Linked DNA regions of Drosophila melanogaster. The protein of the gene in region 2 interacts with the protein of the main gene of each other region in a pairwise test. Each region holds a gene or a part of one and is shown on either strand. Other genes may lie near its edges.

The links.
Region 1: the proteins of Wwox (region 2) and CG13795 interact in a two-hybrid assay, tested with the Drosophila melanogaster proteins (one large-scale study listed by BioGRID).
Region 3: the proteins of Wwox (region 2) and CG18508 interact in a two-hybrid assay, tested with the Drosophila melanogaster proteins (one large-scale study listed by BioGRID).
Region 4: the proteins of Wwox (region 2) and Act57B interact in a two-hybrid assay, tested with the Drosophila melanogaster proteins (one large-scale study listed by BioGRID).

The regions. Positions count from the first base shown.
Region 1 is NT_033779.5:7,722,502-7,727,988, forward strand, and holds CG13795 (uncharacterized protein), read right to left. Parts: upstream 3,798-5,487; 5' UTR 3,595-3,797; coding exon 3,432-3,594; intron 3,166-3,431; coding exon 3,034-3,165; intron 2,973-3,033; coding exon 2,809-2,972; intron 2,749-2,808; coding exon 2,660-2,748; intron 2,544-2,659; coding exon 2,074-2,543; intron 2,017-2,073; coding exon 1,868-2,016; intron 1,801-1,867; coding exon 1,672-1,800; intron 1,603-1,671; coding exon 1,396-1,602; intron 1,337-1,395; coding exon 1,055-1,336; 3' UTR 544-1,054; downstream 1-543. Other genes in the region: CG13794 (uncharacterized protein), read right to left, coding at 1-144; CG13796 (uncharacterized protein), read right to left, coding at 4,996-5,256, 5,328-5,487.
Region 2 is NT_033779.5:7,999,156-8,006,185, forward strand, and holds Wwox (WW domain containing oxidoreductase), read right to left. Parts: upstream 5,132-7,030; 5' UTR 5,034-5,131; coding exon 4,942-5,033; intron 4,880-4,941; coding exon 4,370-4,879; intron 4,309-4,369; coding exon 4,129-4,308; intron 1,279-4,128; coding exon 1,149-1,278; intron 1,082-1,148; coding exon 953-1,081; intron 878-952; coding exon 689-877; 3' UTR 515-688; downstream 1-514. Other genes in the region: Sirup (Starvation-upregulated protein), read left to right, coding at 1-12, 94-395; Spn28Dc (serpin 28Dc), read right to left, coding at 5,496-6,405. UniProt on the Drosophila melanogaster protein: Putative oxidoreductase. May control genotoxic stress-induced cell death. May play a role in TGFB1 signaling and TGFB1-mediated cell death. May also play a role in tumor necrosis factor (TNF)-mediated cell death. May play a role in Wnt signaling.
Region 3 is NC_004354.4:3,171,753-3,174,773, reverse strand, and holds CG18508 (uncharacterized protein), read left to right. Parts: upstream 1-1,633; 5' UTR 1,634-1,729; intron 1,730-1,786; 5' UTR 1,787-1,794; coding exon 1,795-2,094; 3' UTR 2,095-2,506; downstream 2,507-3,021. Other genes in the region: Fcp3C (follicle cell protein 3C), read left to right, coding at 380-431, 496-1,106, 1,179-1,364.
Region 4 is NT_033778.4:20,942,307-20,946,931, reverse strand, and holds Act57B (actin 57B), read right to left. Parts: upstream 2,912-4,625; 5' UTR 2,816-2,911; coding exon 2,776-2,815; intron 2,089-2,775; coding exon 998-2,088; 3' UTR 501-997; downstream 1-500. UniProt on the Drosophila melanogaster protein: Actins are highly conserved proteins that are involved in various types of cell motility and are ubiquitously expressed in all eukaryotic cells.

The DNA.
Region 1 (5,487 bases), 280 kb from region 2:
CCAATACGAGGCCACAAATATATCCAGTTTAAGGGCTAATCCAAAGCAGGCAAATATATAGTCGGTGGGCTTATCCCACTTTCCTCTCTTCAAGTCGGGGGAAAAGGGTTTGTGCCCACTATCATACGATGTTTCATATATCATTTTGTGACGTTAGTATAGCCCGGTAAATTGTGTGAGCAAAGGAATTTGAAAAACTTTTGTATAAAAAGAAATATATCCAATTTCACACGCCGATGGAGGTACTTATTATTAAAAGCTTTGGCAAACAACAAACATTTCGCGAGCGTTTTAAATTGACGAACTAATTAGTAGCAGCGATGCGGACGAACTAAATCCGATTCCGCTGATAAACCGCAGTGTAGCTGATTCCACTGGACTGAGATGCTCATAGCCTATCCCGGACCATTCACACTAGATCGGCCATCAAATACACTTTTAAGAAATAATGTTAAGCATAATTTTTTGAATAAATAGTCGGTATTACTTTGTAATACTATGTAATGTGAACAAGTTCAAACAGACAGTAAGAAGATCCCTAATAATTTAATGTAATATGATGTATATTAATTTGGATATGTTAAAACAAACATCTCAATGAAACTAATACCGTTCCTAAAAGTAGTGAGTCACCGAAGTGGCATTCTGAAATTAAAAGGCATTTCTATACACTAACATGACGTCAATAAGAGTACTTTGCTTATAACCATAATTAATCAATAACTACATTAATAATTACACGTTTTTAAAAGCTCTCTCTCTCTCTCGATAGACAAACTATGTAAGCATTATAATTGTGGACGTCACAGATTTTTTAAGCTCAACTTTATTAACTTTTCCGAGATATCTACGTTTCTCTGGACAGTCACACGTGTGAACCTGATCGATTCAGGTGAGATAAACGCTGTAAAACCCATTGCTGTAAGCATAGTGCAATAAGTGTAGCATTTCCACCTTTCACAATATGATTGTATATATATGCATACCTTTTTTTAAATACGCATTAAAATTACTCATATATTTATATTTAGTACATTTCTAAGTGCATCAGTAACTAGTTGACCTCCTCAGTAACCTCGAAGAGTTGGTGGGTCATCTCCGTGTTGTCCACAGCTTCCTCGTACTGCTGGCGGTGCTCCATCTCAACCGGATACCAATCGGTGGGTCGGCAGGTGCGTTTAAAGCGTTCGCAAAAGGTGCCCGTGCTCTGGTAGAGGTAGTAAAATCCATATCCAGGAATGGCCAGAATGGGCAAAACCACGAGGACAATTGACATCACGAAGACCACTGTTGTGGAATAAGAGTGCTCCGATATGGACAGAGCAATTCCCGCGAGCTAGTTAGTTAAAAGAATATGATTATTCAAAGCAACAAGCAACTAACTAACTAACTAACCAGACAAATGACTAAAATTATTGGAGCTATAAAGCGGAGTATGAAAACCTTCCAGGAGGCAAAGGGCTGGCCCAACATGAACTCAATATCTCGCTGGAATCGTTCGCGACCATAGATCCACAAAACCACCAAAAGGAGCAGTAAGTGCAGCAAACTATGTGAGAAAATGGCATCAAGACCCAAGGCCGAAAAGAAAATAATGCCATGCTAGAAACGGAAAATTGTTTAAAATATTTCTTAATAATATATCTTTTTTGTGTAAACTTAAGTACTTACATTGGTGCAAAAGTAAAAGGAGCAGAGTGCAATACCTCCAATTAGCCCAAAGGTCACCTCTTGTTTTCTCACTCTAAGTACTTCGAACTCATCAAACAAACTTTGCAAAACCGTGAAGATTTGCGTCGTCTGAAAATAAAATTATTTAAGTTTAGTAGCGTGAAAAATAAAAATTAATTGTGTAGATTATCATCACCATCACAATTAGAGCAGCAATTAAAAGCATAGAATAGTATATAAAAGTCCATAGGTTTGGCCAAGCCATTGTGGACAAGGCAGAAGCACTTGACAAATATAGCAGCCAATGGCTCAAAACATGTCCGTTATCATCAACATCGGATAGTTCTGAAAGGGATAACTTCAATACAGTAAAGATATTGCAAATCTATAAAGTGCTATTACCATTAAAGTAGTGTTCCAGCATAAAGGAAACCATGCCAAACATGATATAAATGAAGATCTGTCCAAAGGAAATAATCCAACTATACGACATGATGTCAGTCTTGAAACCGTTGAAACTGGACAGAGTTATTACACTGCCCCAACCAGCTCCGAATGCATGAAGAACCATGATGAATGTGGACACTACTCCCATGGCCATGTCACTTGCCTTTGGAGTCACATATCTGTGGAGCCCGTTAAGAGCTCCCGGAAGGAACAGGAATCGCACAAAGCACACTAAAAGAAGAACCAGGGTAACAATCACCATGTAGCGTATAAGTTTTCCAAACTTGGCCGTCTCTGAGAATTTATAAAAAATAAATGCAATCACAACCCAAATGATTGCGAATAGGCCAACAAAATGCCAAGACAACTCGTAATCCTTATACCAATCCGGAACCGCATCCTGTTGCATGCTATCATAGTGATTTCTGTAAACATAGAGTTAAAAAGAAATTATTTTTAAACAATTCTTAAAATAATATTAAAATATTTGCATTGGATTAATTAGGTAATGTTTTATTGCTATATAAATAGGAGCACTTACTGAAAATAGAGCACGGATGGTACATGGAGCAGCTGGTGAGATCTGTTGTATTCCGAAAAGTCCTCCAAGATCAGTGTCTTATTACAAGACTTAAATATAAAAAATGTACTTAGTCTTCAATTCAATTTAGTCATACACAAATTTCATACACTAGATAGCGTTGCACTTCCATTGTGCCAAGAACTCAAGCCCTCACAGCTCCAAGGTAAAGTGGGTCGAAATGAGTTTATTATGAACAGAAGTGGAACCGCAGCAAAAATGCTATAGTAAATTAGCATGGAGATAGTTAAAAATCCACTCACATATCCCATGCCTGAAATTGATATTTCGATCAATATTTAATATCTGTTTAAACTTCTCGGTTACGTACGTACCTTTAAAGAAAGGCGACAGGCGAAAGGCGGAGATGAATCCACTGCTGGAGAACTGACCCATGAAGGAGTGAATGACCATGATGGGAACCAAGTAAATGGACATATATACAAAGTACGGCAGTATTCCAAGAACTGGTCCAAGCAAATAGTGTATTTAAATAAATGCATTCAAAGATAAAGATTAAATTCTGATGTATAAACTGTTATCTCTTGTGCTGTATAAAGAGACACAATTATTACATTAAATACATAAATATCGACAGAATTAGGCATTGTTTTGTATGTATGTCAGATGAGAAGGTAAGAGAACATTAGCAGAGCACCGCCCCTCCACAGATTAGTCTAAATCCGAACCTTATCAGCAATATAATATACGTAGTCGCCCTTGCGTTACTTACTGCCCATGTCGAAGAACATCCAAAACGATGCCACAAAGACATCCAACTTCAAGGCTAATCCAAAGCAGGCGAACATAAAGTCCGTTGGCTTATCCCATTTTCCTCGATTCAGATCGGGGGAAAAGGGTTTATGCCCGGTATCATACGATGTTTCATATACCATGTTGAACTACCCACAATATTACCGCCAAAATGTGGGCGAGAATGGATTTAAGCAAATTTTGTAAATAAGTATATATAACTACGATCTAATTTTACACTCCCGCAGAGGTAATATTAGTATATATATATTTTTTTTCTGCAACCGATCCGCGAGCGTTTTACTCTAAATTGACGGACTAATTAGTAGAACCGATGCCGGCAAACTGAATCCGATTCCGACAGCAGGCCTCTGTTTAGCTCATCCCTCTTGAATGAGATACCCCAACTTAGGCGATGCACACTTGGTCTTTAATCACACAGTTATTACTATGGAAGTGGGGTATCTTTATACCGAGATTCATTTGAAACCTCCCTCTAATTTCAAACAGATCTGTTGTCAAAATAAAGATATGCTAGGAAAATATATATCTAAGCGAGTTATCTATAGTTTCAAGCTTTCGGTTATCAAAATAATTGTAAATTTGTTATTACACGTTTTGTAAGTGTATTTCCGATCTCGACCATAAATTTGCATTTATTGTTATTTTGCTTTAAATTCAGATTATTAGAGCTCTTATATCTGTGCCTGTCTCTCTTATGTGCGCCTATCGTCGTGCATTGCCAAGTTCATTTCGATTTTGGAACTGGAAACTGATATGGTCGTGCTCGGGAAATGGGATGACAAACAAGACAGCCGCAAAGTTATCAAATCTGGGGGAAAACTCAGACAGCAATGCAAAAGCAAGTAAACCCCATAACGCCCTGGCTGTTGATTTCAATAACGCATTGATAATGTCTTAATATTTGTTTTTTCTTATGTTTGTTTGTTATTAGCGATTAGTTTTAGGTAATAATATACAATTACCTCATATATTTTTCAAACTATTATTATTTTGCATGCATTTAAAAACATGCTTCTAACAATCTACTCTAAACGTCATATATTCTATAACTAAAATTCCAAAATTATTATTATTATTAGTGCGACATTAAATAGTTTAAAGTGCTGACAGCCGTATATCATAAATTTAACTCTTTTCCTTATACGTTTACCAACTTCAAAAAAAGACTTCAACATTTTCAATGCCTAAAAGGTAAAATTTTATTAGTTCATAACAATATTTTTGGCCGAAGCTTGTTGAACATTTTAGTAGGAAACTACTAAATATCACCAGTATATTGTTCACTATAGCTAGCTTTTGGAAAATATCAGTACAACTTCATTACAACAACTAACAATCGCCATTGCCAATGGATCCGCTTATTTATATACTAGTGTGCGTGTTTGTTATTGTATTTTTTGCATGTGTGAATGTGACCGCATATGGGTGTATAATAAAAGTGAGTTCAGTTCAGTTCATTTGTCAAGTGACGACGCTGTAAGTATTGAGTTTTGATCTAGGGAGTATTCGATATTTAGGCACTATGTGGTGTTGGCATTGGCATCTATAACCAGCATCTCCGAGATGCCCATGATTTCCTCGTAGAATCGCCGGTTGTCCGCATCCACCGGATGCCAGTCATGTGGTGCGAGGCACTGTTGCAATCGCTGGCGCCAATCGCCATTCGTCCGACATACCTTGTAAACCATATAAGATATGGCCGTTAGGAGAATCAAGCCCTGACTCACATAAATCAGGACATCGTGTATGCGATCACGCGTAAATAAATAGGTTAGTTGAAACTGCAAGAAATTCCAATAATATCAGTCATTAACTATATACAAATAATTTTATAATAATAACCACTACTCACCAGACACAGTCCCAGAAAAATGGGCGTGGCAAAGCGTATAAAGAAAATTTTGAAACTTGAGATCGTTTTGCCTAACATAAACTGCAAGTCGCACTGGAAACGAACGCGTCCATAAACCCAAGTGGTCATCAGCACAAGGATTCCCGAAATAAGCAAGTGT
Region 2 (7,030 bases):
TGGGCAAACAAGGTGTGTGTGTGTGTGTGTGTGTGTGTGTGCGCACTGTGCTGGAGTGGCGATGCTAACGTTCTTTCAATTTTTCATTAACAGTGAGCTATCTATCGACGAGTGGCGCTTGGCGGGCAACCGCCAGCGGTGGCGACATGGTGGTCGAGATCAAGGAACCAAAGACGCGCACCGAGAAGCTAATGGCCTTCCAGAAGAAGCTGCGCGCTAAAACGCCGCTGGGCAAGCTGGATGAATTCTCGCGACATCCGTACCAGGAGAAGGAACCACTCAAGCCCTGGCCCAATCAGACCAATCCGTATACGGGCGAGATCGGCGGACCAGCCGGGCCGGAGCCCACACGCTACGGCGACTGGGAGCGCAAGGGACGCGTCTCCGATTTCTAGTGCCCAAATGAAGAGTTCCTTAACTAGTACTTAGACTGTTATTTAAATGCTAGCCATTAAGACTTAAAAACAAATCAAAATGTATACTTGTTTAGTGTAAAAAGAAAATACATGATATTCTTAACGTACAAAAGTTTATTTGCATTGCACTTATTGGGCAGAAACTATTAAAGAATTCAAAATATATCTTTGTAATGAATAGCTGGTTTAAAATGTAAAATTATACCTAATGGAATCATTGGTGGTAGCATAATGCATAAATATATTTAAAAAACAGTAGCCAAATGACTTGGCTAATGCTGCTCCTGCTCCACAAGCTCGGCAATCAGGTTCTCGCTCAGCTTCCACAGTTGCTGCTGCAGTGCAGCACTTTTGGACAACTTGCTGGGCTCGCAGAAGAAGCAATTGTTGAAGTACAGTCCAGACAATCCGGTCAGCTCGTTGGCCGTCGCACAGTAGATACTCGTGGCAGCCGCTTGTTGCTGCCATATGGGGCACAGAAAGCAATTAGTGAAAGTTAAGGGAAAACAGAGAGTTCTTCTCATTGCCAAACTCACCAGCGACTTGGTGAAGGGACGCACAATGGCAAAGAGCAGGCGGTAGAACCAATAGTTTCGTGACAAATCGCTGGACACCATATTGCCCGGATGCAGGCTAAAAACAGAAATGCCTCGCTGCTTCCAACGCTGCAACAAAAAAACAAAAAAAAAGGGTTGGCAAGTGGAATTCAATTGACCCAATTTAAGGACTCACCTGGGCGAGCTCCTGGGCGAACAAGACATTGCATAGCTTGGCATTGTTGTAGGCCATCATGCTCCAGTATTTCTCCGGCGGCGGCGAAAGGTGATGCACTGCCAGATTCTCCACGGGCAGGTTGGCAAATCTGCATGTTAGTTAGTAACTAAGATTATTTGCGACGCATTTCTTTGTCGGTACATGAGACCCACATGAACATTTCTCGTCCAAGTGAACTCACTGGACTTTGGCCCCGCCGGCCGACAATCGCGAAACGAGTCTTGATTGCCATTGCCGGCTGGCATAGCCGGCTTTAAGCGCTCTTTATTAATGAGATGCAGAATTAGCGCAGTGCAGGGCGCACAAAGGCTCCCCACGAACAATGGCGTGAGTCAACAAGTGGGGCCGGCGGAACAAAGCCCCACAATCGAACAAGGACCCTCTGATATGCATAGTGAACTCTATGGCGAACTATCTATCTATGTATCTATCTATCTATCTATCTATCTATCTATGTATCTATGTATCTCCAGTTTTCGGCGGAAGCCTCTGGAATCCTCGGCAGTAGCGCATGCGCAAGTCGCACATTTCCTGCGAATCCACGAATGCCGCAACATGAAAACATTTCTATACACAAACACATATCTGCGCGCACATTTCTGGACTTTGGATTTGTTTTCATTTTATTGAATATCTGCGCTCGGCTTGGGGGCGATGTAAATATAACGTCGCAAAATGTATGCAAATTCAGTGTTATTTATAAGTATGGGTATCCATTGGCATCCATGACAAATGAAACCCGTTGGCGTTCCATTTTTTTTCTTTTTTTATATATGTATATTTGTATCTTGTTGTGGTAGGTAAGCAAAAAAGCGTTCTTTTCGACTGTTTGCATGTAAATTAATTAGGTTCTACAGACAGATAAATTGCTGCTGAATGGCATTTAATTTTAGAACAATAACTCGTTGCTTTACCTTAAGACTCTAATTGAATTAATAATTGTTTAATGTCTGGACAACTTTTCCCACGCAAAAATATAATTATTTGAAAAAGAGAAACCTTAAATAAAAATATTTTATCTATGCAACAATGAATAACCCAATTTTTGTGAGCTGATGCAAGAATAACTAATTGTAAGTAATCTTTAATGTTTGAAAATGATAACCAGTCGAACTTCCATACCAACATTCATATCTTTTTCTCGCCCGTGTGAACGTGCAACAAAAGTCTCGTGCGCCACATTGGAGTACTCGCAGATAGTCATGTATGCTCCGCGAAGCCAAAAAATGTTGTACGTGAGCACAGCAACGAACGCAGCAGATACAAAACCACCTCCAATAGCCAGTATGTATGTACATACATATGTACATCCAGTTCAGTTTGAATTGGTATTGTGCCTCTTCACGAGATTCGCTCACCCAGTGATTTATTTGGTCTTTGACAGCATGCACAGTGAGCCATTCGAGCGGCCACAAATGAATCAATCTAATTAAGCGAGTTAGCGCTGATAAGGAAAATTATAGGGGCACTTTTTACATTTATAGTATCTATTTAAAGCATGCTAGTTTTGAACATTCAAAGTTTATCTTACAAAAAAAGTACTCTGCTTGGATTTATATGCGTAGCTAATCTGAATGTGTTTTAGTTTTAAAAGAAAAACAAAAATACTTTCTTCAGTTTAGTTAATTTATCTCATAGATATTTTTTAAAGAAAGATTACAATCATATTTTCAGAGCTCTCTACTCCACTGTGCTTACAGCTGCACGTGAGTTCGATCATATTGCTCTATTGTACGCACGTTTTTGGTTTTGATAATACAAAAACCCAGCTGCGTTGGCCTCGTAATTGTTTATATTTATGTGTTTCTTTGTTTGCCTCTGAGTGCGCAGCACAATATGTAAACGAAGCCTATGAATAATATATACTCATATATGCCAAGCTGAGTTCAATTACGTTTCGCCTTGAAATCGAATCAAACGGAAAACATCTTACGCAAACAAATCTGAGGCAAATAGGCAAACATTTTGGAAAACATTACACTAGACGGCATGGCTGAGGCGGAATGCATTTATTTCTGGTTTGGTCTATGAATAGTTTGGCCCCAAAGTGCGAAAAAAAAGAAAACGCTGGGTGCAAAGTCCACTATGCGGAATCATAAAAGTGCAATCAACTTGCAAAAATAAAAGAAGGCAACTCGAAATGGCAGACACACATTTAAAACTGATGGTGTCGAATACGAAATAGCTATTGAATTTATAACTACATTAAATAAATTAAATTAATATTGTAAAGTTATTAAGATAGTTAAAACATAAAGTATATAATTTTATTTTATTCCTTATTAAAAATATATTAAATATATATATTTTTAGAATGTGACATGCACCAAATTCAGCTTCAATTAAAATACCCGTGTGATTTTGATAATAATCATTTTGCACACAAACAGGTTGCAATAATGACAACTGTTTGCCGGCCAAAAACAGAAACAAAAAAATAATAATTATTAAAACGAGATTAACAGTGCTGACATTGAGAAATTTAATTAGGAAAGAAATAAGCCAAATTGATTCAAGAAAATAGGTTTAAGAAATTATATATAATACATCAATTTATATATTTTGAAGCTTCGATGTATTTTATTTAACTTAAGTAGAGACGATTTTCTATTGAGACAGTGACTGATAGTAAAATTGATACAAGAAACAATACGATCGAATTGTAAATAACTTTTTAATTCCCTTACTGATAGTGCGAAATATAACCAGTTGATTTTGTATTTCCCATGTAACCTTTTTTAACATATATCTTTTGAATACTTAATTTTTAAGATTGATCTATTGATATTTCATACGAAATATAAAACTTAAGTTCAGCGGTTAGTTTGTAACCTTTTATACACACCATAAGAATATATATGAATTATTTCGTAACTGGTATACTCTATTACCCCCTCCCTCCCTAATTACGTGCTAAAGTGCTCAAATTCACACTTACCTGTGCGACTCGGATGACAGCACAATGATCCGTGTTTTGTAGTCAAACAGTGTCTCCAGTTGCAATGTGAGGTAGAAATGCGACAGGTGCGAGACCTGGAATGTGGTCTCCAGACCATCCACGGTCCTCGTGTAGGGCAGTGCGAATACTCCGGCATTAAGGATGAGATAATCAATGTGGCTGCAATATAAATATAATTATCAATTAAATAATATTAGATTTTGAAAGCTATGCTACTGACCTAACACTCTGCTTAATTTCTTCCACAAATCGCTGAACTGAACGCAAAGAGCTCAAGTCGAGAGCGGCGAATCGACAGCGGGAACGTGCTGCAGGTCGCTCCTGGGCAATCCTTTCGATGGCCGCCTCTGCGGAGGATCTGTTCCGGCAGGCGAAGATGATCTCACAGCCGTGATGGGCGAGCGAACGAGCCGTCTCGTAGCCAATGCCACAATTTGCGCCCGTTATCAGCGCGGTGCGTCCATGCAAATCCTTGCCGTGCAGCACCTGCAGTGCCGTCGAACAGGAGTCAAATCGCTGGCGCACCTGGGCCACATTCTGTGTGGGCTCCTCCACGGCGAATGCCAAACGAGGATCCACATTCGTTCGTTGCTGCGTCTCCTTGTTGAGGAACATGAAACGCTTTCCCTGCTCATCGTAGTACTTCTCCCAGCCCAAGGGTAATTCGCCCGTGATCCGTTTGGAGCGACCCGTACGTGGATGTGTCCACTGTGATGTTTTTCCCTGCTGGCTAAATGGTGCAATTAAAAAATATCAGACAATGTTTACGACTCCACTGGACTTTTGACTTACTTCACATAGCAAACGGTGCCGTCATCGGTGGCACGTTCCTCCCAGCCGGGTGGCAGCTCATCCTCGCTATCTGTGTCGGGTAGGGCTATCATTTCGAATCAATTTAAACTTATTTAAAGCTTTATTTCTAAAGTATACACTTTTTATTGCGAAAAAGAATACAAAATAATTGAAGATATCGATAACATGCGGCTTAAGCGATAACTGCCGACTAAATGAACAGCTGTTCCGTTAAACGAAACATGTTACCCGCTAATAATCAGCATCTCCGTTTAACAGAGCTTTTAACCGCAACCGGTTGATTGGCGGTTGTTTTTTAAATTTAAATGATTTGTAGAAACTTAGCGCCTTGAACATTTGTGGGCATTGTTTAATCTGCCTGCTGTACGGTACATAGGATAATGTGAAAAGATTCAACAGCAACAAAAACCAATACAAATTTTCATAATTTACGTTTTAATTTATTTTTCATCATTGTGAATGATTTATTAGTTTCCTAACTATAAAGTCAACGAACTTAGGTGCTAAAGCTTAATAACTTATGATCCTAGAAACTAAGCGGCCGCCGGGGGCTCATTTATGAGTCCGTAGAAGAGCACCAGTTTCGTGGGATCGTGGCGCACAAGGACCATGAATGGAGTGTCTCCGCGGAAGAGGACATCGGGACCGGATTTCTTGAGGTATGTGACCGAAGACGCCGCCGCCTCCGTGCCCTGCTCGTTGACGGTGAAGTCCACTTTGTGAACAATGTCATCCACCACCAGATCGGAACGTGCTCCACCCGTTCCGGCTCTGCGCTGTGCCTCCAGATTCTGCAGGCTGTTGCCGCCCAGCGCATTCGTCCTCGTGGCCTCGTTGGTGGCGATGAGCGAGAGATCATTCTGCACCGCGCTAAAGATGCCGCCCAGCCCCATTCGCTGCATGACTGTCTTCAAGTTCACCGACTCCGTAAGATGCATCTTTGGGAATGCCACCAGAGCGGCCCGTCTGTACATTCGGCTGATCATGCTCTCGATCTTATCCGCCGTCAGACGTTTCTGCAGTGCCATTAGCTCCCTCACCGACGACTTAAACGGCTGGATGATGTACATGGTGCTCAGATTTCCCCTGTACGGCAGTCCAATGATCTTGCAGCCCAGCTCGTGATCCTCGTGATACGGATATGCACCACCGGTGGCCATCATCTGCACCCTCATCACCGGCTCCGTTCCCTCGCCATTCGGATAGAAGTTATCCGGACGTGTGGCTGACTCTATAAAGTCCGTTTCCCAGAATGCCTTAAAGTACAATGCGTTGGCCAGAATCATCCTGGTGGTCTGCGGAATATCGCTGGCGATGATGTTCTCGATGTGATTCTTTGTGTGCTGCGCCACATAAGCATTGATATTGTATCGTGCTGTCGCCGGACTGCCCTCGAAATCCTGAATCTGCAGATCCGAGGCGTAGACCTCGACGATCACCCGTCTGGAATTGCACAAAAGTGGAGCTCATGAGTAATAAATCAACAAGGCGCAGCTATTAGTATGCCAACAACGTTGTGCAAAGTGGAGCGATAGTATTGGGGAACTGGGGATGGGTTGGAATTGCAATATCTGGTGAGCTAAATAATAACTTGGGAAAGTAGTTTTTTTCCGCTTTTTTTGCAATGTTTGATCAGCTATAATTGAAGAATAAATAAATAATTAAATGTCTTAGTTATGTTTTTAAGTTAATCCATTCTTATCAGTGCTTTTTATTTGCCAAATTTTTGGCAATTCATTGTACCTACTATTTGACCTAAGGTTTCTAATTAAATATTTGATTAACTGATAATTCCAATTCCAATTCCGATTTAATTTTATTCAAGTTCTCTACATAAAAACAATCGCACTAAAAGTTCTTACTAAATTTGTTTGTCAATGGTTCCCATTTATATTCTAAACTTTATACGTACGTACGTACATATATATTTCTCAATGAAAGCTTGGGCTTTAAAGATTCATAAATATAAGTGGAATTACACGCTCATTTCTACACAGAAAAATATATTCTAATATTTTCTCGTTGTATATTATCTTCGAATATAAAATAAATACTTCCTTTTGGAGCA
Region 3 (3,021 bases), on a different chromosome or scaffold from region 2:
ATTGCTGTTTAATCGGCCGTTTATTTATGTTATCCATTATGTTATTATAATCATAACAGTTTCATTGCAGTTTGGCGGGATATTTAAAAAGATTTTGGAAAGTAGTTTAGAACGGTAAGGTAAACTTTGTGCAGCTCAAGACACAACTTTTGGGTTTATTGATTACGCATAATTTTCGGAAGTAATTCTTTTTCTTTCTTCTCACTTTCCTCCAAATGAATGAATTCCACTCGCTTTGTGTGAAAATTCTGCTTAATCAGACTTAACCCTGACACAATTTTGCCGGTTCTCACAACTTGAACTTCGTTGGGGGCCGACTAAAATGGAAGACCGAAATCTTGAAAAACTGCAAGCCAAGTAAGAAAATGGCTTATATAAAATGGATGGCGCAAAGGCAGAAGTATTCAGTGTTTCCGTAGATACCAAGATGGGTAAGCTTTGAAAGTAATATTAGCTAAAGAACACATTTCATATCGTATATATTTCATATATCAGGCGCCTTTAAAAATTCCCTGCTGCTGCTGACACTTCTGCTAGCCATCCATTTGGAGGCATCCAAGATAGTCTACAAGAAGCCGCTCTATGGCAATAGCAACATCATCAAGGACAAGCGTATAAAGACGAAGCCCGTCAAACTGGAAACCAGCACCATGAGCAGCACTGGTGTTGCAAGTAGCAGCACAACAGCCGAAGAGGATTGGCCCACGGCCGTTGAGTTTGTGATTATGACAACGCCCGCAAGCGAATTGGAAGCCAGCACGGAAACCATTGGTAACAATGGCACCACCGAAACGACCGTTGGCGAGGCACCCATCATCGGATCGTCGGAAGGATCCACACGATCGATGGAGCCAACCACCGCGAGTCCGCTGATGAGCACAAACCCATCGAGCAGCAGCAGTCTGGTTAGCACCATTCCCTTGCCACCGACAGCGGGACTGCCTGTGCAGGATAATCAGCCAGTGCCGTGCACATGCGGCGTCTTCCTCTCCTCGCAAATCCCAAATGGCTTGCCGACAAAGCCACTTATCCACCAGGAATTGGATCATATGTTTCCCTGCAATGCCATCGGTCGCAAGCAGTGTCAAACCAAATGCCTAGAGACGGTGAGTACTGGGGAAACGAGGAGGAAAAGATGAGGAGAAGCGCTCTATAACTCACCATTTCGTCCATTTTAGATCGTACAACATCTGCCGAATTCCGCAAATATAGTATGCTCCGCACTGGGTCACGATTGTCACAAGGAACGGGCCTATTTGTTCATCAAGAACTGTCACAATCAATGGGTTAATACCAATCTGCAGGCGGGCAGGGAGTACTGTTGTCGCTCTGGCGTTCCCTACCGTTGCCCATTGATGGGTTAAGCACTGTGCAAATGAAATAAATATATGATATGACAAAATTTCAACTGTATTGTAAATGCGCATGGTGTTAAAAAATCTAAAAAAAAAAGCAAAAAAAAAGCTAAGGTGTGCACATAAGGGTTAATAGATTTCAAACGGTTTGGTTCGAGTCCGGACTATATTAGTCCAACCGGTTGCGTTCTTTGCTAGAGAGTACGTATTTTTTTTTTTTAAGATAACAGTATATGCGTGGCGTTTTTAGGCTCAATACCAAACACAAGTGAACTGGCTACACTGACATTTTTGACAATAAATAAATAGTTGAATTAAGGAAATCAAAGCGAGAAATACTTTTTTTCCGGAGCCAGTAAGCTAACATTAAATAGGTACGTTCCGCAATTGTTGTAATCACTTGCAACGCCAATAACTAACCATTTTTAAAGCCCGAACAATGGTTTGCGTGCCCTGTATTATCATTCCACTGCTTCTGTACATTTGGCACAAATTTGTGCAGCCGATCCTGTTGCGCTACTGGAATCCCTGGGAGAAGAAGGACGACGATGGCAATGTGATCAAAAAGGGACCCGACTTCCCATTCGAGTGCAAGGGCGGCGTTTGCCCCTTCGTTCCGGGCGGCAAGAAGACGGAGAACGTCAGTGATGACGATGCCGAGGAATCTGAAAATCCGCCATTGAATGCAACAGCAATGGCAGCGGAAACGGAAGTGGACGAGTCCAAGAAGGAGATCTAGTCGAAATGTTCCAAATATTGTAATTTAACACATAGTACATTTTTTTTTTTTTGTTATGTTTTGACATAAGAGCGGAAAACACAACGCACACAACACAAGGACACAAATCCAACGTGGTGGGCGGCGATCGTTTGGTAAAGGAGGGGGAGGGGGCGTGGCCCTTGAAGAGCGGCAAGAACGTCTAAAGTATAATTAACTTGCAATTAAATGTACACTTTGACACGCGAAAAAACTGCTCTTTTCCTGCGGGTTTGTGTGTGTGTGTGTCAAGAGTTAAAGGTTAAAGGTTAACTCCACGCAGTTCCAATATGAAATATGGTATTTAAACTTTGTTCCAGCTGCAACAACGCAGAGCTGAAAAATTCGCCTTTATATGTTGTATATGTATATAATTAATGAAATAAACACACGGCTTTTAAAATAATTATTTAATATTTATTATTTATGTCAAAAAGTTTGCAGTTTCGTTTTGCTGTCTGGCTGTTTAAGTTAGGAAAACAAATAATTTTACAATTTACACATTAAAAACTTACACACAAAATATAGACGAAAGAAAGCAATACCGTTCAAATTAAAATTAATGCAAATCGAACGAGAAAATTCGTATTTTGCAGTTTTCTCTAAGTGTGTGCGTTTTTTTTCTTTCTGTTGCATATTTTTTGAAAATATCTTTTCATCAACTTAGATCGTAGATCGTCGAGTGTCCTTATATATATAGTAAACTTGGCTGGTTACTGTCTTTTTCGTGGTTTTTTCCTTTTTTTTCTTCTTTTCTTTCTTTCTTTCAATTAGACTTATACGTTTCCATTGGTGATTTTTGTGTAATTTTTTTTGCAAATCCTTTTGTATTTTGTATGTGTCAACTTAAATCAAACAGTTATGAGAATCTTTTTACAGTTTAGCTTAGTCAATATGTAATAATACATA
Region 4 (4,625 bases), on a different chromosome or scaffold from region 2:
TGGCATTGCCACCATACACTATATATGTATATATTCCATCCATTATTCCTCAAAGTGAAATGCATTTCTGGTAATCAGTTTGCCGAGAGCGGCAACAAATTGACATTGGCAATTTGTTTTGGCCGCCGCCTTTGATCATCCATCCGACTTGCGTCATCTCCGATCGTATTTCCTCATGGCATAAACAAACAAAAAATCGCTCGCCTGTCCGCCGCCTCACCCATTTTGGAATGCGTCTAAAAATATTCGAAAATCGTTTCGAAACCAGAAATATTTTGGGAATAGAAAGCTTTACGGTATGGTATTCGGGAAATTTGAAACGCACCGTCGCGTCTGGAGGTGAAAAAAGCTCACACATCACACATAGATCCATAAATGTACATATATATTGTATGTATCTTGAACTACTGATCGATGGAAAGCTTCGGCTAGGATTTGCTTTCCCGGCTAGATGCCCCCCCCCAATTTTTTCCAAAATCTCTATGTTTTTAGAAAAAATTAAATCTAAAAAATCGTTTTTATTTATAAATAATTATAAATTGTTTTAATTAATATTACAATCATGAGATTATTTTACATTTCGTAGTCAATAGACCCCATCCGCTCTATCGGGGAAGTTGTTAGGTTCTGTACAAAATACATGAGGGTGTCGGTTCATTCGTAAAACAATCAAATGGCGATCAACATTTAAGGAAACCGCGAGCGATTAACAAGTGGATGGGGATCGCGGTCCGTGGCATTAGATTGACAATTCATTTTGATTGATGGTGTTGTGTTCAGTCAGTACAAAAGAGTATTCTCGAACCAAGGATGACACGTTGGTAAATAATGACATTCAAAAACAAATGGTTGGATGGTGGTGGTGTTTGTTGTTTTTGCCGGTGGAGCACCAGCCGCCCACACACCCAGAACCACCACAAATAGCAGGACCAGATGAGCAGGAGACAGGTGAGTAGACCGGGTGGTGCTAGTGTTGGTGCTAGGCAACTGCAACTGCTTAGAAGCACTTGCGGTGGACGATGCCAGGGCCGGACTCGTCGTACTCCTCCTTGGAGATCCACATCTGCTGGAAGGTGGACAGAGAGGCCAGGATGGAGCCACCGATCCAGACGGAGTATTTGCGCTCTGGGGGAGCAATGATCTTGATCTTGATGGTGGATGGGGCCAGGGAGGTGATCTCCTTCTGCATACGATCGGCAATACCGGGGTACATGGTGGTGCCACCGGACATGACGATGTTGGCGTACAGGTCCTTACGGATATCCACATCGCACTTCATGATGGAGTTGTAGACGGTCTCGTGGATGCCGCAGGATTCCATTCCCAGGAAGGAAGGCTGGAACAGGGACTCGGGGCAACGGAAACGCTCGTTGCCGATGGTGATCACCTGTCCGTCGGGAAGCTCGTACGACTTCTCCAGGGAGGTGGAGGCGGCGGCGGTGGCCATCTCCTGCTCGAAGTCCAGGGCAACATAGCACAACTTCTCCTTGATGTCACGGACAATTTCACGCTCAGCGGTGGTGGTGAAAGAGTAGCCGCGCTCGGTCAGGATCTTCATCAGGTAGTCGGTCAAATCGCGACCAGCCAGATCCAGACGGAGGATGGCATGGGGCAGAGCATAACCCTCATAGATGGGGACGGTGTGGGAGACACCATCACCGGAGTCCAGAACGATACCGGTGGTACGACCGGAGGCGTACAGGGAGAGCACGGCCTGGATGGCGACGTACATGGCGGGCGAGTTGAAGGTCTCAAACATGATCTGGGTCATCTTCTCGCGGTTAGCCTTGGGGTTCAGGGGGGCCTCAGTCAGCAGGACGGGGTGCTCCTCGGGGGCAACACGCAGCTCGTTGTAGAAGGTGTGGTGCCAGATCTTCTCCATATCATCCCAGTTGGTGATGATACCGTGCTCGATGGGGTATTTCAGGGTGAGGATACCACGCTTGGACTGGGCCTCATCACCGACGTACGAGTCCTTCTGGCCCATACCGACCATCACACCCTGGTGGCGTGGACGACCGACGATGGAGGGGAAGACGGCACGGGGAGCGTCATCACCGGCGAAACCGGCCTTGCACATGCCGGAGCCTGCAGGATAACACAATCGAACAGGGGTCCATTAGTGGGCGCTCGAGTGCTTCATGTGGGGTTTCCCACACTGGGAGTCTAACATTTGCTCTAACGGACAGCGTGAAAAAGTCTGGCGACTAAGTCGAAAAAACTGGAAAAGTTTGGGGCGGAGAGAAAAATTCTCTCATGAAAATATGTGATCTGTCTTCTTCTCTCGTATAGAGAAATATCTGAAGATATATGATTTCTGAAATATTCCTCTTCTCTAATATCATGATCTCTTGAAAAGCTTTCAAGCATCAAAACTTATGAAAGTGATTCGGGCACAAAAAATCTTTATAAAACTTATGCAAATCGGTTTTGATTCTGTGCAAAATATAATATTTTAGCTTTTCTTTATCTGAATATTTATGATTCTTTGACTTGAATTGAAAATATTGCTCAATAACTAATATTTAAAATATATATTTCTCGAAATCATCCAAGGCATTGGAATATTTTTTTTGTTATATTCAAATTTCTAATTGCTTGTGTCCCGAAGGATGCGTGAGTTAATCACAACTCGAAAATCGTTCACTTTGCGATCACTTTAGCACTAGATGCGGGAATATCCTTTCGCTGTTGGGTCCTTTGTCTATTTCTCTTTCTTTTTTTTCTCTTTTAGCAAAAGCCAAGACGATAATCCGTTCGATGGGGAATACGCACCATTGTCAACGACCAGAGCAGCAACTTCATCGTCACACATTTTGTTTTAGTTTTGTTTTTTTTACGGCACCACGGGTGAATTAAATCAAGAGTTACGGTGTGTACGGCTTGGAACACAACTGACTGACTAAAGTATCGCCGCGTTGGTACTCGGATTTTATACCGCCGCCGAAATGCCATCTCGTCCAAGAAGCGCCGTCGCCATGCCCCCCGCCGCCACCGCCCCCGCCACGCCCCCATACCAATGGCAAAAGAAATACTCAAACGAATACACACAGCGAGGAAATATGCTCATGGATGCGATAATGCTGCCCACCGGCCGATCCGCCTAAAAATAGATCCTTCAGCATAGGGGGCTCTTTGGAAAACATAAGGCGAACGAGCGAGAGGCACAATATGGTATGGCATGCTATACGTATAGGAATACCATATAGCATATAGCGCAGTATAGTTCGGCGTGATCGAGCGTGGAGATCGTATCGGTTGGGATCGGGCACGATCGGCTGCCTGCTCACGATCGTTTGCAGTCTCAAAAAGTGCCGTATAAGGCAAGGAGGCGCCTCCAGCACACTCACACTCGTTTGCTCATTCTCAGCGAGTCGCTCTCTCTCTCTCTCCTGTTCTCCCACTATATCGGCCATATCGGCTATATCTGCTATATCTGCTATATTTGCTATATGTTTCGGTTCGGTTTGGATACTTTTTGGGTCGGTTCGTTACGGTGGGGGATTGGGTGGGTGGATATATTCGCTTTGTTGCTGGCTTCTATTTTCTCGTACGGCTCGTTGTTTTCATAACTTTCGTGTTTTTCTCATGTCGTAATAAATTCATTTTCTATTTTCGATATGTACACACACACAAACGCACAGCCTTAGTCAAATCGCATCTCTATCATTTCCCAGCCTTTGCACCTTCATGCCTTTCGTTTCTAATTTTGGTCATATTTCTCATTGCGCTCTCGCCCAAGATCCACGCCCACGCCCATGTCTACGCCCCTCGTGCAATGAGCATTATATTCAACTAATTGTTTATTTACAAATCGGGCTGTAAGATGTTAGTAAGGGGGATGGGAGGGGGGAGCTTAACCGTTACATGCCGGCTTTGCAGGGTACCCATTTAAATTGGGTTCGGTGCAATCTATTTTTGGGCTGCAACTAAGTGGGGCATGTTTACGTTTTATGGCACAATCCGGTGAGGCCAATCGTTGCTGTGGATCCTCCACACTCTCCTCCTCCACACATTTTACCCAATTCTCGCTGTATTCAAATACTTGGATACAGATGTATGTATTTGTGGCGCGGTTCGGTTGCTATACTACATGGAAAAACAAATGGATGTCGCTAAATTAGATTTGGGGCCCCATGCATATTCATTCTATAAAACGTGTATTTTCGCACGTACATATATGTATCTTTGGATACATAACACCAATAAGGTTGAGTTCCAGCTTCCCGAGGAAGAATGACTAATCCCTTAACCTAAATTGCAAAAATTAATCTATCAAAAGAATCGGTCTAGTTCGAATAGGATTATTTTCGAACTAATTTTAGACGGTTCTAAATATAGATCAAATGACAACAAGCAAGGTATTCCTCCAGAGTTGCCAGAGAGACAAGTAGGGCATATTTTTATTTTATGATTGTCGCCTTACTGATTACTATAATACTTATTGCAAATTTATAATAATTGCTTTTTAATAGGTATAATAATAATAATAATAATATAATATAATAACTTTAATAATAAGTATAAAAATAATAGTTTTTAGTGATATGCCTACAACAATTGTATATTTTCTATATTTTTCAATAATATTTTTTTTCTAATTTTCTAATTATTTTTTATTCCGG